Oreochromis niloticus: one gene and its partners. The protein of the gene in region 2 purifies or fractionates together with the protein of the main gene of each other region. This does not show direct contact. Links are inferred from orthologs where the notes say so. Each region holds a gene or a part of one and is shown on either strand. Other genes may lie near its edges.

Region 1 (7,951 bases), on a different chromosome or scaffold from region 2:
CAACCTGAGGTGAACAAAGACGTTATTTTTCACGCTCTGCTTCATTTGGCTTAGTTTTTGTTTAATAAATAATGACATGGTGTAATCGATTGATCTGAGGATGTACTTTCTTTTTACCATGTCTGTGTTGTATCTAATGCGTGTACGCGCCCTTAATGAAAAGGAGCTTGTGATTGAAACCTTTTTAAACGATGATCACACCCAATAAATGCAAGTTTAGGTTCAAAATAATTCACATGAATTAGGCAGTATTATAAGATACAGTACACTAGTTCCAGTTTGTAACCTGGGTGGTTTTACACTGTTTATTTTGTGACGCAGCTGTTGGACCTACAGCACTGCTTAAATATCGCCATTACAGGCTTTGACTGTCACCCATATGCAATTTTACAGCCATGCTTAACTAAGCACTTGAGAGGAGTAAAATTAAGGGTTTCTGCAACTCCTGTTTTCTAATTTGTCAGCCCTTCACAGACGTTCTCCTCTGCCACACCCTGCACCTACACTGATGATCTTAACGTCCACAATGAACTTCAAGTCACCGCCCAGTCTGGCTGAAGTTACAAGACTTTCTTAATTTTAATTTTAATTAGTATAAACCTAAAAATGAAACCAATGGCGAATAACACTGATACTTATGTTACAATCTACTAGGCTCCTGGTATTCATGTGGATGTCATTTTGACACATGCCACCCACCTAAACACTGCAAAGCAAGCACCCCACCCCATGGAAAAGGCACCCCACCCAGAACAGCACAAAAAAACTGATTCCAACTTCCCAGATTCCAGTACTGATCAGGCATTTGCAGTACACAGTGGAACAAACCCAGTGTCCATTGCCCCAACTGGTCTGAGCTGTTTTGGATTTCAGAAGGGGTTTTTTCTGGTTGTTCTCATCCTTTCCTTAAAGCAAACATCAACTGAATCCCCCCGATTCAGGGAGTATGGCCATATGCTTAGCCCATACTCCCAAACCCACTTCTTTGCCCTTGTAAATTGTATGCCAGCTCTTATTCTCTCAGAAAAGTAAATAACAGAGGCTCGTAAAGCAAAACTGTTAAGAAGACAAGAGAAAGAAAAAATATGGATACATCTGTCAGGGAACAAATGACATCTGCTTGATAGGAGCAGGCGCTCTTTTTTTATTTAGAAGAGCTGCCTAAGCGTCACATTGAGGAAGTCATTCTGAGCTATAACTCTATCTTTGTCTGCAGCAGCAGACAAAACCCAGTGAAGAGTGCAGAGGCTAGGGTGACAGCGGGTTAGCAAACTGCCTGAGCGTCTTTAACAGGCTCTATAATGGACTGTGGTTGTCTTCAGCGAGCATTTGTTGGACCCCATGTTTTATGGCCCCGTCCTTATTGTGTCTCCAGTAAAGCCCAAAGAGCAGAGGGCTGAAAAGTCAAGGTAGGCTTAATGTCTGCTTGGGTTTTTTTCTCAGGGAAATACGAGTTGCAGTCATGAATCAGATCTACCGTGTCAGTGCGCCATTATTTGTGAAATGTCCATTCATCAGTAATGTGGCTGCAGATCTTAGAGCACAGTCATTGTATAACTGTGCAAAGGTGCAGTTTTTACCCATGCTAACAATTCAATTCAATTTTATTTATACAGCGTGAAATCACAGCAACAGTCACCTCAAGGCGCTTTATATTGTAAGGTAGAGTCTACAATAATACATACAGAGAAAAACCCAACTATCATATGACCCCCCTATGAGTAAGCACTTTGGCGACAGTGGGAAGGAAAAACTCCCTTTTAACAGGAAGAAACCTCCAGCAGAACCAGGCTCAGGGAGGGGCGGGGCCATCTGCTGCGACCGGTTGGGGAGAGAAAAGTAAGACAGTACAAAAGACATGCTGTGAAAGAGAGCCAGAGATTAATACAGGTAACAGCATGTCCATGTATCAGTACGTGGTTGAGCAGCCCATATGTGCATTATGACCTTTTAAACAAGTATTCTCACAAGATGAAACACATTATTTTTCATCAGCAGCTTATTTTGCATATGTTGTTCTCTGTAATCACAATGATGCTGATCAAATAGCATCAAAATGCTAATCAAAAGCATCCCTAGAAAAAGGAAGACTGGAGCTCTAAAAGACATAATCACTAAATATGAAGGAAAACAAATTAGTTATAAATGAACTGGTTCAACTGATTTTGACATATACTGCAGCTAGCCACAGAGGAACATTCACAATATCTTGGCTTCGCCTCTGGGTAGCTGGCATGTCACACAGCCCTATCCAATCTGGCTCTAACTCTGTGACAAATGTTCTGATTAAGGGCCTCATCATTTATGGGTATGGATCGAAATATAGCAGCAATCGTCAGGATGCTTCGGACTTTCTCGACTTGAAACAGGATGTTGTGATCAGCACCTTCTCCCAAAGTATGTAATCATTACTTATCCTTCTAGCATTACAGCTTACTGCTGCTATTATTCGACACTTGTGCCAAACAGTGAAATGGTACTCTCATTAAAGTCAGATGGATTTATTCTAGATTTACAGTTGTACAGATGTAAAGTTTAATCAGATTTTTAACCTAAAATAAGGATATAGGAACTGTTAAAATAAAGCTTCCTGCATCTGAAGATCTTATCTTATATCGTTACACGATATAAGTAGTTACACACCTCATAAGTCATACAATGTAAGACACAGAGATTGGTCTTTAGATTGCACAGCAGAATGGAGTATACAACATTTGCCTCGTACTGTATACTGCCATGATTTACTGGGGACACTGGGATGGGGCTGTGAACTAATGGAATATCTAATGTCTCTGTGACAGAGACTTTAATCAGTTGTGAGACCTCCAGCTTGCAACTTTACCATATAAATCTGAGATAGGCTGCACGACAGAAGGCCCAGGCTGCGAGTTACATCCTGAGACTCTCTGTGTTTATACTCTGTACATACAGTGTGGATTTATGTGAGAGGGGTTCCAGTAAAACTCAAGTCGCGTTGGGTATTTTTCGGTATATACTTGTTGTACTTGTAAACAAAATTTCAGAGTACTCAAGCATACACAAATCAAGATGTCAGCAAACACATGATGATAATAGTACCATCTGCAGTATCATCATTTGCCAGAAAATCTCATCCCATCTGCCAGGATGTCAGCATTAACACCGTTATGTCTTCATGCTTCCATTACTTCGTCACTGTTGTGGAGCAGCCACAGGTGTCTCACAATACCACAATTTACTGCTTGATATAAAACTGTCAGTGGATAATGCCCAGCCCTTGAATGGGCTTGCATCCTTGAAAGTCATGCGGTTTCACAGAGCTGTGCTCAGAAGCTACCGCTTACAGCTCGCAACTTTTTGTGTTGCGAACATGATGCCTCAGATCTGTCTGACTAGATTTTGCATTTTGTATGAAGCAACACGATAAAGCAGATGTGGTGTTTGGTATTTTTTTAACTCTGTCTTTCAGAGTCACATGCTGTTTTTCCCCTTTGCAGAAGGATTACCACTTTCTGATACTGGACTTGTTCTTGTTTTTGCAGGTCTGATGACTACCATAAGTAAAAGGCTATTTATAGAACTGTGTAGAAGTGTTGAAGCGCTGATCATTTCTGCATTTTTTGCTAGGATGTATGGAAATATCTTAGCTAAGTTGTCTGTCATGTGTAGGCATTATACTGGTTCATCCCTTGTGCTATGTGTCTTTTTATGCTTGGATGATTCATAGGTCAGTGTTAAGTGGCTTAACAAACTCACACAAAAAGCACATTCCTCTAAGGTACAAGAACCTGACCAATGACCTGCCTTTTATTTACAGTATCCTCTTTAAATAAAAGGCAATAAAGTTCAGACACAGAACTCAAGTATCACACAGTGAGACGCTTTTACTTGTTCTATTTTTACCACAATAATACTAAGTAACTTCCGCAAAATCATTGCTGTTAAAATGTTGCACTGGAGATAAAACTGTAATCATTCATGTGTCATTTTGTTGACCATTGGCGCACACTGAGGTGCGCAATTGTGACGCGCACGAGGGGTTTTCAGCAACCACGTGAACCACTACACATGATCCACCTGTAGTTAACCTCCTGGGCCATCCTGTGGTAAAAGCAGACCGAGCAGGCTCCAACAGCCTGTCCTTTGCACGACTATGTTTTCAGTTTTTCTATAGCCAATGTGGTCATTTAAAATCCTGTATCCAAGTCTTCAGGTCGCCCATCGATTTATACAGAAAAAATACGAAAATTCAAAAAAGATCAAGTACATTGTGGGGTATTTATTATACATTTGTTTTTATTATCCTTTATTTATCCAGGTGAAAAGTTTCAGTGAGATTTAAATCTAATTTCCAAGAAAGACCTGGCCAATAGGGCAGCAAAAGCCACAGCAAATACGACGCATAATAATATGACAAGTAAAAAACAAATAATATATTGCATACGGACAAGTGAGCACAAACATGTGAATAACACACAACAGCAGATCATTAAAAGCCACATTAAAAACAGTCACACTGGCTAAAAGAGCTATTCTCTCGCTCCTTTAAATATACATACAGGACAATACATACAGTACACAAACAGTAAATATAAATTTCGAGTAACGCACCTTAAAATTTCTTGATAATGACTTAATTTCTTGAGTTGCGTATCTCAGAACACTGACTTACTCTGCAATGTTTCCATTTGTACGTTAGCATTTCGAAATTCTGAGATAATAACACGAAATTTCAACATTCTCAACTTAAAAACTTTGGTTAATAACTTTACATTTCGAATTGCTTATTACAAATTTTCCACTCAGAAATAACTTGAAATTTCAAGATGCTTAATAGATGAAAGATTTGACATAATTACCAAAAATTTTCAAAAATTTTAATTTGGCAGTTGTTCGGGGAGGGGGGGTGTATATGTGTGTGACGTAAGTGGCTAATATGAACATTTCAAGTTACACGAGCACACACTCTAGTGGACAAAGAACAGACTTCAGTGCACAAATCCTGACTGCGATGCGCCGCCAAAACACCAGAGGAACGTGTCAGTATTTTGATATCATTGTACCCATGTGGTGAAAGTAGCCGAAGAAGAAAAAGCCCCCTCAGCTGAGGAAAATGGCCGACGTTGAGATGGACATCTCGTCCAGGAGAATGAATAATGGCAACGAGCACGTGTAAGTTATTAAATTACAGATATTTAAAGTTTGTGGCAGTAAGTTATAGGCCTCTTTCAGGTCGAAAATGAAGGGAAGTGTTAGCATCGCCGGGGCTAACGGAGTAGCAGGTTCACGTTGTTGCCGGGGCATGCTCAAGATAGGCTAACGTTCTTGGCTAGCTAGCTAACGTTCTTTAGCGCGGCTAGCACTAAGTTTCGGTGATAGCATGCAGAAGTGTACCTCATCCGCGTTTGTGTGTATTTGCCTCAATAAAGTGTACCTGCTAAGCCACACACAGTGTAAGGTTTGTACTCCCTCCCAAGCAGCTATTATGTAATGTAAGTTAGCATAGCTAAAATTATTCACGGGATGTAGCTGGTTAGCACTAACTTTGCTAAAGACGGTTAGCATGTCAGAGCTAATGAGTGAAAATCATCTTGGCGGTCTCGCTCGGGGAAAGAGGGAGCAAGTGAAGGTTACACGGGGATTTACCGAGTGTCACTTTCTCATCAACGAGTGGTTCTGATGAGTATTTCTACAGTTTCCTGCTAAACTGACCACATTATATAATCCCGGTATACCTGATGTTAAACACCTTACGGTAACCTAAAATGCTACACTTCGGGCGATGATGGGTTAAACTCGGAAATGAATGTTGTGTAATCTATGGACTGATTTTTAGACTAAATGCTCACGATGTCTGCAAGTTACCTCGAGGAAAGAATAGCCAGCTTTATGGTCTTTTTTTATGTGCATGTATAAAAATTAAAACCACTGATGATGATGTTGTATGATGTTTGCTGCTGTGAATAGTGTTCACTTCATTGTGTGTTAAAGAAATAATAATTGGACAGAGTTTCCTATTTTGCCAGATTTAAAAAAGATTTGATGTGTAAATGAAATTTTTAGTTGATTATCATAGTTTTTTATATCCCAGACACTGTTACTTAAACTTAAGCACCTGTCAGTATTTTGGACAGATGGCAGAACTCTGTGTGTCTCATTCTATGGCATGTTATCAGTTGCATTCAGGGTCAGGCTGTGTGTTCCTACTACCAGTCCAAAAACTATATTTAACCCAGTTGCGTGTATTTTTTAGACCTTTGTTTCCTTTTGACTTCAGTCAGCCAAATAATTTAGCACTAAAGTAATTAAATATTCTTTTTTTGAAACAGGAAGCAAGATCTGGAAAGCCATGAACGAAGTGGAAATGAGGACAGTGGCGACATATCTGAAGAGGAGGAGGAGGAGGTAGGGGTTGACAATGTGAGGACCTAAATGCCATCAGTGGTGTCATCTCTTTTAACACAAATCTCAAACTATAACAAACTGTGCTACTATAACTTGCTGTAAGATCACCTTTAACCAAAATTTAGTAACACTTTTTGTCTATATCAGTCATTCTGAATACAGTCTAGGTTTGTTAGGTGGTAAAAACTCAAAGAAAACAAGATTGTATCTATGTTTACACCATAACTAAGAATTACAAAGATCATCTGTCAACTAAATTGATTGTTATCCTGGTATGTTCACATGCTAGGAGGAGGCTGAAACTAACGGCGAGAAGACAGAGGAGGGGTCCAAACATCACAGCAGTAGCGGTAAACACAAGCGGAAAAAACACAAGCATCGCAGTAAGCACAAAAAGCACAAACATGCCTCTGATGAGGACAAGGACCGCAAACGCAAGCATCGTCACAAACATAGGAAACACAAACGCAAAGAGGGCTCCTCTCCCTCCGCCGCTGTCCTCTTTGGCTCCTCTACTCATAGAAAAGTTGAATCTTCTCCTTCTTCTGGAAATCCAAGTCTGGATGACAGGGCCTTGCTGGAGGATTTGGAGAAACAGAGGGCCATGATCAAAGCTGAACTTGACAGCCAGTTGATGGAGGGAAAAGTTCAGTCTGGCATGGGTTTGATTCTTCAGGGGTATAACTCTGGATCTGAAGAGGATGGAGATGCAAGGTTCAGAAATGGAGAACCACGACAAAGGGGCAGCTCAGGTAAACCTATATCACCCAGAGGAGGAAAAAGTGGCAAATCTAGACGGGACTCAACAGAGGGCAGTAAGTCTAGCTCCAAACGCCGTAGTCGGAGTAAGTCTGCAGACAAGCCGGCCAAGGAGTCTAAGCAGGACAAGGTGACCAAAAGCACCAAGGACACAGGTGTAAAAGACAGAGGGCGTGGAAGGAGCAGGTCAAAAGACAGGAAGCGTTCACACAGCACTGATAGGTCCAAGGAGAGAAGGAAGTCCAACTCTCCTTCCAGCTTCAGGGCAGAGCAGAAAGTCGGCCGCACTGATAAACGGTCCTCTCCGCAGCGGGATGATAGACCCAACCAGGAAAGAGTGAGCCGACGGTCCAGATCGCCTGGACGGGAACGGCCAAGTCGCTCAGACGCTGACCGGGACAAACGGCCAGCCAAGTCACCATCCAAGGACACTTCTTTAGGAAAGGAAAACCGTTCCCCTCATAGACGAGGGGCTCACAGCCCTGCAAGGAAACGCAGCGCTTCCCCTCGCCATAGAGATGCCCGCTACCCTTCGGCTAGTGCCTCAGAAAGGACATCAAAACAGAGCCACTCTCCTTCCAGAACTAGGTTCTCGCCCCAGAGACGCCGTAGCCGCTCACCAGAGGTCAGGAGGCGAGATGCTGAGAGGCAGGAGTCACCACTGAGGTTAGTGCACACCTCTGGCTTTTCCACCGTTTCCCAGAATAAGCTGATTGTGACAGATGACAGAATTGCCTTTCAGTTTCAGATGAATAAAAGTGAGTTTGCAAAAATGTAAAATATTTAAGTGTTCATTTATAAAAACGAA
Region 2 (7,343 bases):
CACATACAGTAGGAAAAAAAAAAAAAAGATTCAAAGCTGCTTGAAAAATAACCCCAACCCTCATTTGTTTCACACGGTGAAAACACAAACACACATCAGCCCAGCATCACTCTCGCATCTCGCCGTCCTCTTCCTCCTCTTCTACACCTCTGATGTACAAAACATTATTGCACCTGTGGAGGTCGAGCACAGCATGAGAAAGCGTTTCCTTCCACCAGTCACTTAATTATTAACACAAGTTAGTCAAGTCTGACGACTTCAAACTGTTCGGACTCCCGCTGATTTCTCTCTGCGGCGTTACAAAGTGTCATTCACATACCTGATGAGAACCTCACCGAGATGTCCGGCCAACGCTCCATCCACATACTCTTCTGTGTTTGCCAGCTGTCAAAAAAAACATAAATAAAATAAAACAAAGTTCAAAGGTCAGGTAAGATAATTGGTGGAGCAATGAAGCCAAGATCTCCCTCATCCCAACAACCTCCTCCAGCTCATCCAGGGAAACACTGAGGTGTTCCCAGGCCAGCTGACAGATAAAATCTCTCTGGTGCTTCCTGGGTGTCCACCTAGAACACCTCACCCAGAAGGTGACCTCCTCAACTGTCTCCTTTCAGTGTGGAGGTGCAGCGGCTCTACTGTGAGCCTCTAATGAAGAGGCCAGCCATCCTTTGGAGAAAGCTCATTTCTACTGCTTGTATATCAAAATAACTAAAAAGAGCCTTAACAATACGATCAGGCCCAGACTAGCAAAGTTATGGCATTTTTCTACAAAAATCTTGTTGCTGCAGCTCCATCTGGTGGCAGATGGTTGTATAAATATTTAGGACACCAATTCACCATCATTGGACTTTAAATAAAATGTAATTAGATTAAATGACTTGTACATTGAGCACCGACTAGTGACAATAGCAATGATCAGTCGCCACAGTTGCACAAATTCATACTTAAAACATGCGCTAAATAAAAGAATAATAAAAAAAAAAAATGTAATCCTAGTTGCCACAGTGATTTCACCAGGTAAAAACAGAGCCACTTTGGTGATACAGAAAACTCTGACTTTAAGTTTAGCATAGCCTGTGGTGTAATTCTATAAATGTGCAGTTTTTAAGGGTAGAAACTGTTCATACTTCACAAATTATCGAGTATCAGGATGTTTTCCCTGAGGTGGATTATTGATGTTGTCTTAAGTATATTAATATGTGTGCATTTTCATCAGGGTGTATGTTTAGAACTACAAGTGAGGACAGTTTTGAGTTAACACAGGTCCCCTCTTCTGTGACTGTCTAGTCACTGGTGTACCACCCAACACTGGAATGATGCTTCCTTGCAATGATGTCATTTTATCCTTCAACAGGAAAATACTACAGGTTCTTGTGTGACCCCATGAACACATTACTCGAGTTTTAATAATAATAATAATAATAATGATAATAATAATGATAAAGATAATAACAATAATGTATACTTTATTCCCCCGTGGGGAAATTACTTTCTCTGCATTTAACTCATTCACTCAGTGAAGCAGTGGGCAGCCACTAATCAGGCACCCGGGGAGCAGTGTGTAGGGACGGTACTTTGCCCAGGGGTACCTCAGGGTAGCTGTTCAGTGGATTCAAACCCCCCGACCTTCCGCTCATGGGGCGACCACGCTACCTACTGAGCTATCCCTGTCCACAAAAGAGTTTTCTGTTGTTGCTGGGTAATGCAGGGGAACTGTGTGCTGACGGCTTGGAGGAGTTCTGTGTTGCATTAAGCAACAGTAAAAACAACCTTCTAAGAGAAGAGCTGTGTATGCTGCTTCAAACACAGTGAAAGAAGCAGGGGAGGCAAAGGTAACACATTACTCTGGGCTAACAGTTGTTTTTACTTGGATATGGAATAACACAAAGTTTAGAAAAATAAATCCAAGTCACCTTTCATGCTACAGCAGCTGCATTAATGGCAAACTAAATGCGCTTGTCAATGTTAAAAATCACATTAGCTAAAAACTGCTTTTATTTTGAAATCGAGTCTCAGTTTCTCTTACCATAATATCTAGTCTATAAACAATGCAAAATTTGACCGTAGAACAAATTTTAGGTAATTGAACAAGGCAAATGATCCATACCTGCATATTCATGTACCCGTCCACAGACACGAGGTAGCCCTTATATTCCATGCCCCACTTCAGCTTCACCATCACTGGTTTTCCAGTCAGGCCGTTCAGGAAGGGCTTCGGGTTCAGAGGTAAACTCTGGAGAAGCAGACCAATCAGAGATAAATACACACACATTAAATTCAGACCCAATGAAACAAACAGCTACGGTTTAGCATCGTAATACCCGTACATGTCAAATCAAAACCATATGCAGTGACTTATTCTGGTCTGTGATCCTATAGTAGGTATCAGGTCTCTAAAAAGAGCTCTTGCACATTTCCTTTCAGTTTGCACAATCTTTCAAAGACAAAGACGATTAAAAAATAAACCGTAAATTTTATGATGATCAAGTTATTATAAGTATTTAGCTTCAAAATGTTTGTGTGGCAGTTAAATTAGACGTTTTCTGAATGAAGTTTGGTGCGACACTCTCTACGGATTCAAGCAGGAAGAAAAGCGCCAATAAACAAACAGCAAATAAACGGGAAGCATTGAAACCAGCCGAATTATGTTTCCGTAGATAAACATAAAATGCGAGGCTGCTTTCCGTGTGAGGATTCATTCATTCACTATAAAGTTATGAATGAGATACTAGCTTCGCCTATGCTAACCAGCTAACAGGCTAGTCGCTATTCCCGCGCCCTTCTGAGTAAAAAATCCCCCCAAAACATCCGGTGAAGCTAAAAGGTAGTGTTTCCGAGCTTTACTCACCATTTTAGCTCAAATTAAATAAGCACTGTGCGTTTTAAGGTATACGTTTGATATCCTTTCGTCACAATAACGTTGCACTTCACAGCAGCACACGCTTTACCGCCGACCGGAAGTCCTGCACTTTGCTTCCTGAGGAGTCTGCGTGTTTTTACACACCGCTACCTAGCGGTCAGGGGTTCACACCACACCCAAACCGCATTGTTCATTTATTTATTTTACTGCTTATTATGAGCAGAACAGAAACCGTTAAGACCATGAGAGACATGAGAGAAACAAGCTGGGGTCAACCATCAAAGCAAGGGACAGCGCACAAGAAAGGAGAAAAAGAGGGTGGAGGAGGGATGGAGCGGGTGGAGACAATGTCAGGAGTGATTTGTGACAGGATAGCAACCATTTATAATCTTCAATACGATCAGTTGCAGGCAGGTGGCGCAAAGAACATACTAAATAAGGAATATGTACAGATGTGGTCAGAAGTTTCCAATAATTTGGGGGTTTTAATTACTTCTTTAAACTTTAGTTTTTCTAGAGTGGGATGATTGTACAGTATACATCTTTAATGACTTTAAAAATAATTGGGTGCGCAAGTTTGAATTTATTTTGGATTTTCAAAAGTATACATACTGTCTCAAATGTATAAATTAACTTAAATCTTTTAATAAGTGGTTCTGATTCAGAATAATAGGAAAGTCCAAGGAACCCAGTAAAGATCTAAGAAAGATTATTGTAGATTTACACAATTTACAAAGGTTTTCGGAGCCATTTGTAAACAACTGCAAATTCAAAGATCATCAGTTTGCATGCATCATTTGGATGTGTCAACACTTTGAGGTCTTGAAGAAGACCCCAACTGTCATTCTCAGATGAGAGGAAATTGGTTGGGACATTCAGGAACAACCCAGGAACCATTAAGGCTCAAGCCTGCCATGAACTAGAAACTTCTGGAACACCTATGTCTCTGTCCACAGTGAAGCCAGTTTTACATAGCTATCAACCAAGAAAGAAGTCCCCCCTCCAAAAAGACACCTTCAAGCTTGAATGAAATTTGCAGCTGTCCACACAGACAAGACAAATGCCTTCTGAAGCCAGTTTTATGGTCACATGAGACAAAGATCAAGCTAATTGTCCACAATGACAAGAGGAATGTTTGGAGGAGTGAAGGTCAGGCTATCAAACCTAAGAACCCTGTACCAGCTGTCAGGCATGGCGGTGGTAGCATCATGCTCTATCTGGGGCTGTTTTGCTGCCAGTGTTCTGGGACATTGTAATTTAGCATGAATACCTCAATAAACTTCAACTTAGCTCAAATTAACAGCTAAATGACTGAAAATTGAACATAACTCAGCGTTCCAACATGACAATGATCCCAAATACACATCAAAATGACAACTAAAGTTATTTTGCCTCATGATAATATACTTAAAAGTTAAATTGTAATCTGATTACTGTTCAAAGCAAATACACTGTAAAATCTAATTAGTTCCCAGTACTCAAAAAAATTATGGAAACTCGTTGCCTCAAAAAAATTGAGTAAAGCTTAGCTAAAAATGACTAAGTTAGGTCAACTTATTTACTTTGAGTACTCTGTACAAGCTCATTTGTTCCCAGAACTCAAAAAAATTGGATCAAGTTTACATAAGATGACCAAGTTAGGGCAACTTACTCATTTTGAGTACACTGTACAGCCTTGTTAGTTCCCAGAACTCAAAAAAATTATGGAAACTCGTTGCCTCAAAAAAACTAAGTAAAGCTTACTTAAGATGACTGTTAGGACAACTTATACATTGCAAGTCTGCAGTATTAACAATAACTTGATATTTCTGACTGTACAATACTAATTGTTTACCTACTGACAAAAATGTTAAGCTCAACTAAATGAAAAAACAATTTGTGGTAACATGAATATGATTAAAAATAATTAACAACAATTTTTGTAATGATGTTAAAATGAGCCCAACTTTTATTTTCAAACACAAAGTACAACAGCCAACATACTGGACACTGTTCTGCTGAACAACAAACAATTATATTGCCATCACTGTTATAATCTTACAATGAAACAAAGTCTCAGATGTAATTATTCTGAAAATAAGTTTAGGCCTACCACAGTTTGTTTTGTACTTACATTACTTATATAATCAGAATAAAATATTTATCGTTCTGTCACAAGTGCAGTCTCTAATTTAAACAACACATTTGTTTTGCATTCCAACACATGAGCTGGAATGTTGTATTATTTTAAGGATGGCTTGTTTCCAGTCCAGGCATTACTGCCTGAATGACTGTCATGGATCGAGGTGATCCAAATGTAGGTGCAGAAGAAAGTCTTTAACTTCCCTTAAGTACACTGGCAGTGGATGTGGGTTGGAGATGCAATGAGCTTGAACCTGCAGGCGACCATCTTCACTGACCACACCATCTGTGACGGAGGACTCATCTCTCCTGGTGTCCTGCAAGCAAATAGTCATATTTTTTGGAACATGAACTTAATTGCTTTCTTAAAACATTTTTTTCTGCATTTGGTATAGAACAGACTCCAATTTAGACGATCTCAGGCTCCCTCCCCACCGGAGAGGTGACATTCAATGTCCCAATTGTCAGTCTGCATAGTGACCACCACCCAGCATACAATAATGTCATGAAAGCATCATTTTAAAAAGGGCTATGCAAACATGGCCAATAACTTTCATTCTAATGATGTGCAAAATGATTTTGGGCACAAAACAAATTTTGCTGTTAGAAAACTTGCAGACTTCACTATATACAGTGTAGACCCTCTAAACTAAGTTTGGGGGATGTGATCTTTCAAGAAATGCAGACTAAACTGTTGTTGTTTGTTTACTTACACAGCATGTCTTGTAGAATTAACTGGAGTCACCAGCAACAGCATAGTGCAGTCATATCTCAAGTCTAATAACAGAAGACAGGAAAAGATCAGTAAAGAAACAACTTCCCCAAACCAAAGCACAAATAAAACAATAAGTAAAACAGGCTGATCTAAAGTATGATTAAAGTTCAGCCTGATTAATATAAATGTCACTGACAGTTGCTAATATATTGGAAAACCAAAATACTTACCACTGAGTTGATGTCTTTCTGTCCAACAGCAGGAGTGCTGGTCCCGATCGGCCTCAAAGACAGTAAGAAGCAAGCAGAGGGAGAAAAAACAGAACATTTTTCAGAAACTGATTTGATCCTTAATGGCTGTGCAATCATTGTAACATAGAGTTTGCTTATGTTGTTAAATAAAGGCTAGATTTGACATTAATAGATGCCACAGATGTTCTAAAGCTGCCACAAAGCATGAAAAAAAAATAGACGTCTCCGAAAACGTCGGAGCATTTTTGCAAATATGTGATGTCTTGATAAATCGAGCGGATATTTGAGCTTTACACAGCTACATTCTCGCCTGAAAATATCTTAAAAGTTTATTTTGTGACCCAGAAAAAGTAATAAGTTTTTCAGCGGCGCTCCTCCGCCATTGCCGCGCTTACAAGTACGCACAGGCTCCGACAACCGTGGCCGACAAATGCGATCCTCCTTTTCCCCAGACTACCCTTTCTGGGTCACAAAATAACCTTTTAAGATATTTTCAGGCGAGAATGTAGCTGTGTAATGCTCAAATATCTACTTAATTTATCAAAATATCACATATTTGCAAAAGTGCTTCCACGTTTTCGGAGAGCTCTGTTATCCACCCCCCACATCCCACACCTACCCCACCCCTAACGGCTGCACCTCCCGAAGAATTTTGTCTGGGCTCTTATCTCACTTATTTATTTCAAACAATCAACAGAAAATTTCACCACATAGTTTTATGTAAGGTTTTTAAGGCTGTGGTGTTAATTTTTAAGTAACATGAGCCCAGCGGCAGCAGCAACGCTAGGCTAACACTAACTAGCTAGCAAGATTTTAAACCTGGTGCTAAACTAAGAGAAGCCACAAATCAGTTTGAATAAGAGTAAACATTTACTCACCAAGTCAGTGTATCAGGTAAAGATCCACAGCAATGACAACAATAATATCTTGAGCTGACGCTTCTCCAGGTTTGCTCAACATATTCCATAAAAAATGCACCGTGAACATGCGGACTGATCCGAGAGGGAGGAGGACTGTAGTCACGTGGCATTTTCAAAACACATCTTTCATCCTTCCGCACTGAGAAGCAAAACTTCCAGCTTACTTAGTTTTTCTAAGTTAAGACAACTCAAATAAATTGAGTTTATCAGCGTTTTTGCATAAAAAGTACTGGTAACTTATTTAAATTGAGTTCTAATAACAAATTGATAAAAACTGAGTTCAGCCTATTTAATATTTTTAATTAAACACAATATTACATTTTACAGTGTAAAAGCATCACTGTCGGTGCCTCCACCTGCCCTCAGCTGGACTGAAGGCAGATGGAAAATGACATATCCTGTAGGTGCAACACCTGCTCTACTTATGTCACTTTGACATGCCCCTCACCCACAAACTGCTCACTAGTTGAACCCTG
Region 3 (6,967 bases), on a different chromosome or scaffold from region 2:
ACAAAATTTTGACAAACAAATGACAGCAACCTCACTCCTTAAAAAATATAATCTGCAAATGGAATAAGCCCCACTTTTTTTTCTCTCTCTCTCTCCACAGATGCAGGGTGGGACATTTGATAAACAACACATGGCTTGGGAATAGCAAAAAAGGAAAAGAAAAAAAAGTGAAGCTATGGTCAAATGAATCTCTTGATACATAAAAATCAGCAGGGCACCGCTTTTCACTTGCAAAAATTTGCTCTGCAGCTGAGGGGAAATGCAGGGAAAGTCCTTGTGACTTTGCCAAATACATTCTGAGCGTGAGTCACTGTTCTTTAGTAATCTCTTAGTCACTTGAGGTGCACACTTCCATGCTCCAACGCCCCAAGGCAACAGATTTCAGGCAGGTCTGGACTGCCAACCCCCCCTTTTTTCTCTTTTCTTTTTTTTTTTTTAAGTCTTTATAGTTTTTAACGGATGCGGTGCTTGGTGGAGGCATGCATTTGCTCTATTTTACGCCAGACAAGAGCAACAAAGCAGGCTCACAGAGAGAAGACACAAATCGTATCTGAGCCTTCCTTCTGTGCATGGCTGGAGCCCTTTTACAACAACCACCAAGCCACATGTAAACATATCAGAACCGGGTGCCTCTCTCGTGCACTTGAAAATGTCCCACTTTCTCAGAATAAAAAAAAACCTCATCTGGTTAATAATTTGACCTAATCAGCTTCACATTATTAGTTGTAAACAGTTAGTAAATTAGAAAAATACATAAACAAACACCAGCATTTAGATGACTCCTACAGGTATCTGATACATCCCATAATAGCAGCTTTTTACGAGCAAATTTCAAGAAAAAATATGATCATCTAAATCAAATGAAGTCATATTAAAGCACTAGTTACACTCCCGTGCTAATCTTTTGTCCGCCTCTTCCACGCGCAGCAGACACTCGCATAAATCTGTTTTTATTTTACGCACACTATCATTCGCCTTTTTAACCACAGCACTGTAACAGGTCTGCTGTTAACACTGCGGCCGGATAGTGCAAACTTATGGGAGGGCGATAATTTCTTAACACCGTACACACTGAGCCACAAAGTTGCAGAAAGCAGTTCTGCTCGGTGCCGAGCTGTGCCGCCGGGTCCCACTCGATAAAGGAATTCCCGTGAAAATCACGGAGCGGCTCTATCCTGAACACAAACTTCCACCCGACCCGCTCCACGACAATAACGTTAGCGCCTCGATCTCCGCTGCTACGTGGACGAGCGTGAAATCTGTGCCGAGGGGCCGCCACCATAATAACAACGCCGGGGCTTTATGTTCCCAGCTAGTGGGCAGAGAGAAAGAGAGGGAGATCAGGCCGGAAAAAAAAAACTGGCCTCATCTCCGTCTGCGCCAGACAACTAGCCTGGCCTGGGGAGACCGAGCGACGACGCTTTCGGTCGCCTACCAAATACAAGCAAAAACACCGCGACGCTCCGTGCGGTCGTGTCGATTTTCACTCACCTTGTCCGTGTGTGACGACGCACGGATGTTGTGCACACGAGGCCGGCCGGGTTGAATGTGGTGATTTAAGCGCGCCGGTCTCACGTCGTCTCGGTTTGCTGTCGGCCGTGATGTGGAAGCGGGCAGAGCGGACTCGGCTGGGAGAAATCGGGAAATGTGAGAAAGACCCTCTCTTCTGCAGCTCTGTGCACAGGCAGTAGCCCATAACTGTCGTCAGGAGGCGCCAGCGCGGCGCATTTTTCCTCCCTCTGATATGCGCATGCATGCAAGCTACAGAACTCCTCAAAGAAATCACTGTGCGATCTTGTTCCTGCAGGAGATTACTGCGGGAGCGTCCCTGCTCGACAATGCGGAGATTATTTGTCTTCTTGTGCTTCCACGTTTGTCGAAAACTATTTAAAATTGCACTTAAAAGTTTTAGATATTTTTTAGGCAAAGGGGTAGTTGAGGGAAAGCAATGCTGTGCGCAACAAGGAGCCAACATTTAGGTCATTTAACCGGTTTTGCATCAGTCTCTGTTTCCTTATAAGAATCACTTACACAGTGTTGAGTCATAGTGGCTTTATCACTGCATTACTACAGTTATCCTTTCAACCTACAGTATTTTCATTATCTTGTGAAGGGTATGTCTAATAGAATACTTGTAATTGCAACCATATTCTTAGTAATGCTTAATAATACAAAACATTTCACAGCAAACATCAATATCTTTGAATCATGTGCAATAAAACTGGTGACAATGGTCCAAAATAGCCTAAATAACAACCAAATGTCTGTCATGTCATGTGCCAAACAGATTCACACAGTACCAAGGCGATGATTCCTTGAAGCGGCTCTGTAACACGAAGCATCTGAGATGCGGCAGCACACCTACACGTCCTCTGACCTTGTAACTCTTGCGGTTGGTGATTTTAATTACAGGCCGGCTAAATCCGAGACAAAGCCGTCCTTCAAAACAACTTTGGCTCACGTGATCAAGGAGAAAGGGTCAGAAAACTCATTAGGACAAAAGGGCTGTGCCCAAAAGGTTTGCTTTGTTGTGCTATAGGGCAAGAGACTGCCTGTTCACCCCATTTGAAGGAAAACAACAGGAGAAGGCCAGTGGAAATTTCCATCTGCTCCCCTATTATGTAAATATGATTACTCAAACCCTCAATCATTAATGAATGGAGCCACCTATCTCATAGAATTCAACCAGTTTATACTTGAAATCCTAAATCTAAGTAAGAGATCAAAAGGAAAAGGACAACATGGGGATTTTCCACTCGGAGGTGGCCATAAAGAATCCCAGACGCTTCATCTTGACTTGCTGAAGGGCAGCTGCATGCTGCCAGTGCTCCAGACCTCCATCTAATCCCTGCCCTCTGACTCCACAACCTCGCTCTGACCTTAAATAAACATTAGGGACTTAGTTGCCATCTGTAATCTTCAACATCCTTTGGCCCACTAATTGGAGTTTCACACCGCAAAGACACCCTGACCTGAATCAGAGCAGGTGGACAGACAAACTATGTGTGTGTGTGTGTGTGTGTGTCGAGGACACAATTGGCTTACACAAGCTCTCACACATCAGCCAAGCAGTCTGTCTGTCTTCTGTTTTTCCCTGTCTCCGGAAATAGCACTTTGCAGCCTTTGTTTACAACAAATATCTCTGTATCAGCACCTCAGTTAAGCAAATAAAGCATTAAAGTCATTCTAAACCTCCCCACAGGTTGTAAGCGATATCATATTAGGTCACTGACTTTTAAGACTTACTCAAAAACACCAGTTGCGTTTTATGTTTTTGAGGTAAATTATTATTGTACACTGTCCCAATTAACAGTTCGTGTCATAGAGCCAAAGGGAAAAGCAAAAACACACTCAGGTTTACACCCAAGGTGCAGATGGACGAGTCACGGTTAGTATTTCTACAATGCTCACAGTTATTCTCTGATATTTACGTTCCTATTTTATTTTATCGTAAACCTGATAGTTTCTTGAAATAGAGCGACATCCTTAGGTGAAACGTGGCTATCTGGCCCGAGGTGCATTATGGGCTTTTGTAGTCTCGCAGACTACACAAGATTCCCACATCCCGCTAAACTAAACTCATCCTCAAACTGAGTCCTGATAGAACACATCTTAATCTAGACTCAAACCTAAAAGTAAAAACAGTAGTCACTTTAAAAATTTTCGCCAAGTGTACAGCGAGATCTGCAGGGTTGCCAGTTCTGCAGTTTTCCCGTAACTGGGCTAAGGTTAAAATGCTGCATTACCCCCCCCGGCGGGTTGAGTACAAATTATTGGTTAAGTAGACTCTTTTCGAAGGAGCTTCCATGTACATCTATAAATACAAACTCATTTTTGAAATGAAACAATTCATATATTAATATGTAGTTACATACATGTTTACATATCCCAGCAAACCGAGTCTAGCTCACATGTCATCCACGTACAGGTACTCTCTGCCGACCGCTGCCTGTACCGCTACCAGCTTTGGCTGCTGTGGGCGCCAGTTTTGATTGGCTATTGGGGTGGTTTTTGACGCAGAGACCTGGCAACCCGTTCCGGTTGCTCCACAGTCAGCAAAATGGCGACTTCCCTAGGCTCCAACACTTACAACAGACAGAACTGGGAAGACGCGGTACGTTTTATCGGGGTTATATGTTACCGAGTGGTTCCAGTGACTGATGTTAAGTTACATTTTATGAGTAAATATAATCGGGAAACACGCTAGCTTTTTACTAAACTATTCAGTTCTCTTGGTAGTTAGCCTTCCGCTAGCTAGCGGTAGCTAGTTGTAGAAGCGTGGCTGCTAGCTTCAATAGCTCACCTGTATACATCGTTGCTTACGATATTTTACGTTAGTTCATGAAACGTACCTGTTTCCGCTGGATCCAACTAGAGCATATTTTTAGGTTGTAGTAAAAACAACAGCGACTGAGCTCACAGCTATCATTGCTAACGTAATTTAATCCTGGGCTGTGTGATAGTTAACTGGCTACACCTATGAAGGCCAGCACTAGCAGGCTAACAATGCTAAAACGATGGTAGGCGGGTGAAAGTTTGCTTATATAAATGAATATAAGAAACCGAAAAAGCCACACAGTCCGGGGTGGCACCACTGTTTTGTAAAGTCGCATAAGCAAAGTGACATTGAAAAACCAAACCTTCTTGTTAGGCAGGTTTGACAGCGGTGTTGTGAAAATGTTAGAGAAAATTTAGTCTATAAAAATAGTCTTTACACTGCTGGGCACTATTTCAACAGTGATTGTTATATAAGGTCACAAATAGACCAGTCCTTAATTACTTATAAAGGAAACACAAAACATGTTTGTGACCTACCTAAAGATTATTTACCCTATAAGGCAACAAATCACTTTCCCTAATTGAGCTATGACACCACAGGACATTTATCCAATGTTAGTTTTGTTAAGACACTAGACTAAACTTTGCAACCCTAGATTATGTAGATGACGCTTCAGCCATAAGATCTGCTTATATTTAGATGTTTGGCTGATGCTGTCTGGGAGACGGATTAGGGCAAGGCCGTTTTCAGCACCCAGCACTCGGACTGAAACAGCATCCTTTAACAGATGGCAAAATAGGACCCATAGCGCTCCCTGTATTCACTCTTACCTGTACGTGTGCCAAGGTGCTCACAGCAGAAGGAAGGTGAAGCAGAGATGGAGAGCCAAGTTGGTCTGTTGAATAACTTAATTCAAGGGATTGTTGGATAAACCGGATTACAGTGCTTGATTTTCACAGTTCTTCTTTCTCCTCAGGATTTTCCGATTTTGTGTCAGACATGTTTAGGAGAAAATCCTTACATTCGTATGGTGAGTGAGTATCCCTGTGTCTTCATAGCAAATTCAAGACTGTTTTAACACTTTGTGTAGTGTTAATATCAGCAAATGTGCAAGTCCAAATATGTTCATGCTTTGTTTTACAGACCAAGGAAAAATATGGGAAAGAATGCAAGGTATGGTTTTTTTTCTTTCTTTCGTGTTAACTGTTTAAATTATAAATTGCCCACAGTATACAGGCCTGTTTGATGCATGTACAATGACAATAAAGAACTATTCTATTCTAATACGTTGCTCTCCGCCTATCAGATCTGTGCTCGGCCCTTTACCGTGTTCCGATGGTGTCCAGGAACACGTATGCGTTTCAAGAAGACAGAAGTCTGTCAGACCTGCAGTAAAATGAAAAATGTTTGTCAGACATGTCTGCTGGACCTGGAGTATGGTGAGTCTCTCGGACCAGCTCCTCTGGGTTTTGTCGCTGTGCAGATTTCATGAGCCCCTCATTTATGTAGTTCTGAGCGTAACCCTCCTGCCATCTCTTGTGTTTGACAGGTTTGCCTATCCAAGTCCGAGACACTGGACTCTCCGTTAAAGATGAGGTTCCTCGGTCAGATGTGAATAAAGAGTACTACACACAGAACATGGAGAGAGAGGTAAAAAAAAAAAAAAAAAAAAAAGCTCCTTTCTCATGACTGCAGTATGCTTGCACAGTGATAACAGTATTTACTGGTCCAATGTCTGATCCAATGTTTTTTAAGCAAACATAAGAGAGAGATTTTCCATCCATCATGCCTCTCTGGACTTTTTTGTTTACAGATAGCCAATTCCGATGGCACTCGGCCAGTGGGCCAGCTTGGTAAGGCTCCAAGTTCTAGTGATATGTTGCTGAAGTTGGCTCGGACCACACCATATTACAAGAGGAACCGGCCACACATCTGCTCCTTCTGGGTGAAGGGAGAGTGTAAGAGAGGGGAGGAATGTCCCTACAGGTGAGTGCCATGATGCTAGTCTCCATGGAGCCGATTGTTTCTTTCTTTTAATATCACCTCACATATATTAAGACATCGCTATGGGTTAGTTGAAGTGTCATATTATATTTATTGTTTTTCGGTTGCCCTCTTTACACAGGCACGAGAAGCCCACAGATCCTGATGACCCTCTAGCAGACCAAAACATAAAGGATCGTTACTATGGCATCAATGACCCAGTGGCTGACAAGTTGCTAAAGCGGGCTTCAACTATGCCCCGACTGGACCCACCAGAGGACAAATCCATCACCACTCTCTACATCGGGGGGTTGGGAGACACTGTTACAGATGGAGACCTCAAGTAAGCATTTCTGCTTCATAATGACCTCTTTTACAGCTTGCTGTGATAATTTATTGTTATGCCTCGATACCCGGGACAGCCGTGGCTGGAGGCATTGTGTTTTTGGCTGTCTGTTCATCCATCTGTTCCATTCCTATCTTATCTCTCTCATCTCTATTTAAATGTGGCACAAACAAAGATGAGCTGGTTAGAATAATACAAAATACAAATGTCTAATTATACTAAAATGATCATAGCGTATGTATCTTTGTATGCTCCTTATCGCCTCCAACACAAGTGTAGCAATCTTGATGAAACTTTGTATAAACATTGCCTAGGGCACTGTGAGTGCCAACATTTGTATGGCCTATAGGAGTATTTTA
Region 4 (7,225 bases), on a different chromosome or scaffold from region 2:
GAAAGCTCACTGGTGCATGTTGTCGCAGTAATCCCAGTACCAGATGGTACCTGTCAGCTCCACCACCTACAAGCAGAGTGCAGCTCTGGCAGTAGCTGACACAAAAACTCAGGTATGGAAGGAGTTCAGTTAGACCGTGGAGAAAGTGGTTACTCTACCACATAAAAACTCATAAAAACCTTACAATTTGTAACATTACTCGTAATAAAAACAATAAAAGCAATAAGATAATTGCATTACCTTTTTCATCAGCCTGTGGATCTTCTTTACTTTCCTCTTCTTCACTTGTTTCTTCACAGTATTTTGAGGAACTCCTGTTAGACCTCCACCCCTGTGACATGACGAAAAATAATAACCAAAACTGCTCTTTAGTTTCCATTAAAAAAACAGTGACTTTAATAACACAGCACAACAAAGCCAAGATGAAGTGTGACTTACTGCTCTCCTCTGCTCAGACGAGCACACAAAGGCTAAAGGTAGGCCCATACTGGCCATCATCTGAGTTTCTTCATCCAGCTCCTCCACCTCAGTCTCCTCTTCCTCCTCCTCTTCACCATCATCTACGTCTATGAGTTGAGAAATGTATTTTTAAAATCATGGCAACTAAAACTAGACAGTACAGCGAGGTTAAGAGAGCCACATTCTTCTACAACACAGAGTATTCAGTGAGAACACCAACTCTTTACCAAATTCAAGTCCGTCTTATGAGATGTTAGAGAATCAGAATCATGTTCCTCAGAACCTGCTAAAAAACACGTACCACCAACCCCAATTCCTGATACATTTCATAGATGATTATTTTAATCCCCAGTACTATTAAATATCATGATAGGATAGGATATACCTTGTACAGTGTTTTCCAGGTCAGGCAGAAGTCTGTTATCAGAACGATACAACTCTCGATCCCTGTAAAGAGGCGATGGACATAAAGGACAGATGTACTGTAGGACATCCATAGATGCATCTGTACATATCAGCGTATCCACTAAAACTCAAGGTTTTTGGGTACTGAGAACAACAACATCTAAATGACTGTGAAAATATAAAGTAATATACTTGCATTCATACAGAGTTTTTCTACTCCTATTCAACACTCAAAGCATTTGACATGACACACGATATTGCCAGAAGTATTCATTAAATCGTTAAATTCAGGTGGTCCAATCACATCCGGGTGTATAAATCAGCACCTGGGCATGCAGACTGATTCTACAAACATTTGTGAAAGACTGGGTTGCTCTTAGAAGCTCGGCGAATTCCAGCGTGGTACTGTGATACGATGCCACCTGTGCAATCTTGAAATTTCCTCGCAACTAAATATTTCACAGTCAACTGTTAGTGGTGTTACAACAAAGTGGAAGTGAGTGGGAATGACACCATCTCAGCCACAAAGTGCTAGCACGTAGTGCACAGGTCACCAACCTTTTGCAATTGCTACAGAACTCCAAACTTCACATGGGCTTCAGATTAGCTGAAGAACAGTTAGGCAGCTGCATTGAACGGGTTTCCATAGCTGAGCAGCTGAATCCAAACCTTGCATGACCAAGCGCCACGCAAAGCATCTAATTCAATTCAATTCAATTCAATTCAATTCAATTTTATTTATATAGCACCAAATCACAACAAAAGTCGCTTTATATTGTACAATAGATCGCACAATAATAAATACGGAGAAAACCCCAACAATCATATGACCCCCTATGAGCAAGCACTTTGGCGACAGTGGGAAGGAAAAACTCCCTTTTAACAGGAAGAAACCTCCGGCAGAACCAGGCTCAGGGAGGGGCGGCCATCTGCTGCGACCGGTTGGGGTGAAGAAGGAAAACAGGATAAAGACATGCTGTGGAAGAGAGACAGAGATTAATAACAGATATGATTCGATGCAGAGAGGTCTATTAACACATAGTGAGTGCAGTGATGTAAAGCATGCTGCTATTACTAGACTTAGAACAAGCACTCTGTGGAAAAGTAAAAATCTCCTGCCTTTCATAAGCTCCAGTATTTGATAACCACCAATATTTAAAGCTTTAACACAAACACCTCTCACAGCCTAAAGGGAATTTTTACAAAATTAATTAATTTGAGCAGAGACTGTGAGCCAGGTCTTCTCATCCAACATCCTTGTCTGACCTCACAAGTACATTTCTAGAAGAAAAGTAAAAAATTCCATGAACATACTCCTAGAAAGCCTTCCCAGAGGAGTTGAAGCTGTTATAGCTGCAAAGGGTGGGACAATATCATGGGATGTCACTCAAGTGCATATGTGTGTGAAGGCGGACGAGTGAATACGTTTGGCAATATAGTGTATGATAAGTTTCCACCGCTCTGTGTGCAAGACAACACCTCTCCTGGTGTGGCAGCTCATACCACACACTGCTCATCTTTCCAATTCAGACTTAGCACACAGTTGCTAACATTTTCTTGTGGAGTTTAGCACACCATTGTACTAGTAACAGTAGCAGCCTTGTAATAACTGCGATTTATTCAACTGTGATTGATATAACTTTTAAAAACACTGCTTTGTGGTAGTCTTCAATCAAGTCAGTTATACAACAGTAAATCGGCTATTCATTAAAACGACATTTAATACACGAAATTTCAAAGATTTGACTGGTTTTCATTTCTTGCTGTCTTTTAATAATCCACACTGGCTGGTTGCCATGGCAGCCTGGCTGAGATGTCAAACACCGGTTTAGATCAGACTGTTGTTCGACATGCGGTAAATGAATTACGTGTATGAGAATAGCTCTAGCGGACAGAGGAAAGGTGGTGGAGGCTCACTGTACGAAGGCTCTGGAGCAACGACAATGAATCGTTTCTTCCTCCTGCAGTGACTCCTTCTTGCTGAAGATGATTTCCGCCACCAGGGCTACTCTTCTCATTTCCAGCATCATGGCGGTTAGCTCGCTACAACAAGAAACACACTTTCATTTACCGACGAGCTGCTCGCGTCTTTAAGCAGCATGGGACTCTTTCCTTTATTATTGATTATTTCCGCACTAGAAGCTAACAGCGGATTTTCCGCTATTTTTCAAAATAAAAGTTGCAAAGTAGTTTTTCTTCGGCACATTAATGTAACTATTTTTACTGAATTTATTACACTTTTTTAATTTAATGGCACCTTTTGACATTTTCCACTTTTACTTTTGAGGGATATTTTCTAATTCTCTATGACTGTATATAGTTACTGTTTGAAAGCTGGTGCAATTCAGTTTTGTTTTTATTTTGAAGCGAACGAGTCGACCCGGAAACTCTTTATTGTAAGCCAGTAAGAACTCTTTCATCGGTACAGCACAGTTTTAGGATAGAAATCTGTGACTCTGTGTTCCCCCAACGACGTTCCGGGTTGATGAACAGGATAGTTGATAGCTCTAAGAAGTATAGGTTTTGCTAGTGTAATACTGAATATCGTGCTACATTCTAATGGCACGCTTTACCGAGTAAGCAGTCGGTAGGTACCGTTTTTATGTTTGTAACCGTGGAGTTGGCTTATTGAGAAATGTCAGATTTTCCGGCTCCTTCAATGAGACTTAGCTCTCAGTCAGTTATTATACCGTAGCCCGAGTTCGCTGTTGTCATTTTGCTGATCAAATGTAGCCTCTTCCTATTCCCAGTAAAAAGGTGGTGGTGTTCTAGATACTAATGCTATGTAAAGTTGCTGTCATTTGATTTGATGTTAAAAAGCTGCTGGTGTTTATTAGAAATTGTAGTTGGTATAATACGTGCTATTTACATCTTTTCTGATCTGCGTAATCCACTGCGACTGTGTATTTGTAAATGTAGTCACAGAACTGAGTTAGCGGTGTCCTCCTATACCTCCTTCTTATGTAGCAGCCGGTGTTCTCTATGCAGTCTACCTGAGACCTGATCTGAGCGTCACTCGGTTGAGCTGGAGTTCTCGTGGCTGAGAGCAGAGCACTATGTCAGGCACTGGCAACCAGTCATGTCTGACGGGCGCGGAGGACACTCTCTCTCTCTTGGTATGCATCCTGTCCATGCATTACAGGCACCTAGGACTTGATAATGAAATCGAGCTTACCTAGAAACAAATGTGTTATTTATTTAACATCAGCTTTGGTGTTCATGCATTATTTTATTTTAAGACGCACACAATACAACAAATTTTCCATAATAGAGGGTTAGCACTGTTGCCTCACAGCAAGAAGGTCCTGAGTTCAATTCCACAATCAGGCCGGATCTTTCTGTTTGCATGTTCTCTCCCAGTACTCCTACTTCCTCCCACAGTCCAAAGTGCTTGGTGAATTGGTGAGTCATTGCCCATAGTGTTAGCCCTGCGACAGACTGGCGACCTGTCCAGGGTGTAGCCTGCCTCTTGCCCTTAGACAGCTGGGATAGGCTCCAGCCCCCCACAAGGAGAAGCAGAAAAAGATGCATGGATGGATTTTCCACAATATGTTGGCAACAAGTGGATAATAAGTCCCACAGTTTGAATAATGGGATGTCTCTCCAGCCCTCTTTGAGGCCCTCTCCTCCACAGAGGAGGCGTTCAGATCGTGGGCCCCACGCCATTCTAAATTTAAATGTAGATAATTTGTCCCGAAATGTAGTTGTTATTACGATCTCACCTGGTATTACAAAGAGTGTTATACTATCACTATGTCACATGTTAAGTTGTGAAAAGAGCTTCTATGGTGTCAATCGCCTAGAAACTCTAGATTCTCCCTCAGTGGTATTTTATGTCCAACTGTAATGTTACATAACACTGTTAACCAGTTTTTAAAAGTAATGCTAATACAAACAAGAATGTGTTGCGTATTTTAAAGTTACCTATCCAGTAATTATTGAGATGTTTTCATCTGGACCAAAGTGATGGATGTTAGTATTGACATTCTGGTCCTGGTCAACAGGTGTGTTTGTTTCATGCATGGGAGGAATGGGCAGGTCTTGATCAAGAGGACTATCTGAGTGTCTTGGAATACCTGTTGTGGGTCTTCACACCCCTAGCCATCGTCTTCATTGTGCCTTTCCTCATCGTTATCTTCCTTTACCTCTCTATACTCTTCCTTCATGTCTACAAGGTACGTAAACAGTCCCTACAGTCTCAGTCACATAAATAGAGTAACACAAATCAAAGACCTTCACTGTTTAGTTATCATCTACAGTTCCCTCTATAATGTTTGGGACAAAAACACAATTTTAGTAGCTTTGCCTCTCGACATCTGCACAGTATTTATAGGACTGTCTGACTGAAGTGCAGACTTTCAGATTTAAGTAAAGGAGTTCACAGCTATTTTTTTTTTTTTTTTACATAGTTCCCTATTTTTAGAGGGACAGTTGACTGGCAAGCAGTTTCATGGACAGGTGAGGCCTGCTCACTTGTTATTTCATAAAAAAATAAACCAGTTGATTCAAAGTATTGAGTGGTATTTTATAGTTTTATATATGAGGCCTAAGTAGGGATGGGAATTGATAAAAATTTAGTAAATCCAGTTGCATAATCAATTCTCATTGAGACCATCTCTAAGCAGTATGTCACAGACATTAAATTCATGCATGGTCAAATGTCTGTGCACACTGGAGGTGTTTCCCCAGTTTGTTGTGATCAGTGTTGGGATCATTACTCCAAAAAAGTCATTACTGCACATATAACACACAACACTTTTCTTCAAAGTAATGATTTCTTTGAACTGTTCTTTTTCCAGGTTTGGAAAGATTGTACAGCATACATCTTTCATTACTTTAAAAAGTAAAAATTGGGTGCACAAATTAGAAGTTATTTTGGATTTTCTCTAATTCAATCGGGAAAGTCTTCAACACTACTTTAGATAAATAATGGTCTCTCTATACTCCATGTAATGTCAGGAAGTTGGCAATGAGTCGTTTACTTTAACCTACTTACATCAGACATTTTTGACTATGCTTGTTGACATCACACCTTTTTTTTTTTAGCCTTTATAGGATAGAGACAGTGTAGATCAGGGGTCGGCAACCTGCGGCTCTTTAGTCCTTATATTGCGGCTCGGAAAAATAAATTATAAGTATTTAACTGAAGTGTTTTTTATTTGTGTTAGTTCTTTTTTAAAACTTGTAGTTCTAAATTGGAAGATTATTGCGATCTTGAATAATAAAAATAAAGTTATATTTTATTATTTTCGTTGTTCAAAATAAGCGTCACACTCTTTGAAGCCGGTATACCCGCCGAAACGACGTGCGTTTACCGAGACTTTCAGCCCCAGGTAGGCCTAGTATGGAGAACTGTAAGAAAAGAAAAATATCTGAAGAAAATACAACATTTAACGATGCCTGGGCAGAGTCATTTGTATTTACTTCTGACGAGAGTGGCCTACCAGTATGTCTAATTTGTGGCGTGTCGATCTTCGGATCCACATATGTATGTGAGCATCTGTTCTCCACCATGAACTATGTTAAAAACAAACACCGCACACGCCTCACAGACGACAGCTTACAGTCCTGCGTAAAGATGAAAGTGACTTCGTACAGCAGACGCTGTGCGCAGAGGTTCAGGAGCAGAAGTCCGATTGTAAACACATCACGGCACCGACGATGTTTACATGAACATGCTCTTCAGCATCTCTTTATTGACCACTTTTCACACACACAGCCGGCTGTAGCTTTCCAGCGCACAGCCCGACACATACAAACAAGAGCAGAGAGAGCAAGCAGGTGAGGCGTGATTGCGGATGCCACTCAGGTACGTCTGCCTCTCCTGCAGCGTCACTGCGGGCCACGCCCCGCGAAGCACATTAACCCGGTAAAATAAATATTATGCAGATATGTTGAAAATATTTATTTTTAATTTTTTAGGAGCATAGTGCTTTTTTCCAATTATTTTTTAAATTCTGGTCAAGGCTCCGCTCCGGGAAGCCCAGAAGGCGATATAAGGATGACGGCTCACTGTTTTTCTTTTGCTACATGGATAATTTAAGTTCAGCTTTTTAATTCATTTAAAAGACACCTTCAACTGGTTGACTTTATTTTTAGTTATTATTTTTTAAGGGGTGACAATGTGTTCATTACATAAATAAAATTTAATTTTCTCCGTCTTCTCTTTGCTGACCCCTGGTGTAGATGGACAGGAAGAGGGGAGACGGAGAGAGAGGGGGGAAGACATGCAGCAAAGGGCCGCTGCTGCTCTCGGGCCATACGGCATATGCTCGCCTGCTCGCCCGCTGAGCTAAACCGGTGCCCCAGGCTGTTATATTTGTGCTATTACTGTCTCTTCGATTTTTTTGTTGCAGAGAGA

What was found. The genes of interacting proteins can lie anywhere in the genome.
Region 1: the proteins of snrpf (region 2) and prpf4bb purify together in Homo sapiens (co-immunoprecipitation; 3 studies listed by BioGRID and IntAct, with this or other methods). This does not show direct contact. The link is inferred for Oreochromis niloticus from reciprocal best matches to the Homo sapiens genes SNRPF and PRP4K.
Region 3: the proteins of snrpf (region 2) and rbm22 purify together in Homo sapiens (co-immunoprecipitation; 3 studies listed by BioGRID and IntAct, counting the BioPlex papers as one, with this or other methods). This does not show direct contact. The link is inferred for Oreochromis niloticus from reciprocal best matches to the Homo sapiens genes SNRPF and RBM22.
Region 4: the proteins of snrpf (region 2) and tgs1 purify together in Homo sapiens (co-immunoprecipitation; 3 studies listed by BioGRID and IntAct, counting the BioPlex papers as one, with this or other methods). This does not show direct contact. The link is inferred for Oreochromis niloticus from reciprocal best matches to the Homo sapiens genes SNRPF and TGS1.

Annotation. Positions count from the first base shown.
Region 1 is NC_031974.2:14,009,535-14,017,485, forward strand, and holds the start of prpf4bb (pre-mRNA processing factor 4Bb), read left to right. Parts: upstream 1-4,945; 5' UTR 4,946-5,092; coding exon 5,093-5,151; intron 5,152-6,308; coding exon 6,309-6,399; intron 6,400-6,673; coding exon 6,674-7,809; intron 7,810-7,951. UniProt on the Homo sapiens protein: Serine/threonine kinase involved in spliceosomal assembly as well as mitosis and signaling regulation. Connects chromatin mediated regulation of transcription and pre-mRNA splicing.
Region 2 is NC_031981.2:17,184,197-17,191,539, forward strand, and holds the start of snrpf (small nuclear ribonucleoprotein F), read right to left. Parts: upstream 3,005-7,343; 5' UTR 2,852-3,004; coding exon 2,849-2,851; intron 2,234-2,848; coding exon 2,108-2,233; intron 385-2,107; coding exon 320-384; intron 174-319; coding exon 107-173; 3' UTR 1-106. UniProt on the Homo sapiens protein: Plays a role in pre-mRNA splicing as a core component of the spliceosomal U1, U2, U4 and U5 small nuclear ribonucleoproteins (snRNPs), the building blocks of the spliceosome.
Region 3 is NC_031966.2:25,337,202-25,344,168, forward strand, and holds the start of rbm22 (pre-mRNA-splicing factor RBM22), read left to right. Parts: upstream 1-3,961; 5' UTR 3,962-4,060; coding exon 4,061-4,114; intron 4,115-5,255; coding exon 5,256-5,309; intron 5,310-5,422; coding exon 5,423-5,452; intron 5,453-5,585; coding exon 5,586-5,718; intron 5,719-5,828; coding exon 5,829-5,929; intron 5,930-6,092; coding exon 6,093-6,265; intron 6,266-6,404; coding exon 6,405-6,605; intron 6,606-6,967. UniProt on the Homo sapiens protein: Required for pre-mRNA splicing as component of the activated spliceosome. Involved in the first step of pre-mRNA splicing.
Region 4 is NC_031982.2:1,809,361-1,816,585, forward strand, and holds the start of tgs1 (trimethylguanosine synthase), read right to left. Parts: upstream 3,007-7,225; 5' UTR 2,899-3,006; coding exon of another isoform or gene 2,895-2,898; coding exon 2,782-2,894; exon of another isoform or gene 2,733-2,781; intron 1,593-2,732; exon of another isoform or gene 1,423-1,592; intron 907-1,422; coding exon 845-906; intron 567-844; coding exon 439-566; intron 332-438; coding exon 241-331; intron 1-240. Other genes in the region: tmem68 (DGAT1/2-independent enzyme synthesizing storage lipids), read left to right, coding at 3,921-3,980, 4,869-5,039. UniProt on the Homo sapiens protein: Catalyzes the 2 serial methylation steps for the conversion of the 7-monomethylguanosine (m(7)G) caps of snRNAs and snoRNAs to a 2,2,7-trimethylguanosine (m(2,2,7)G) cap structure.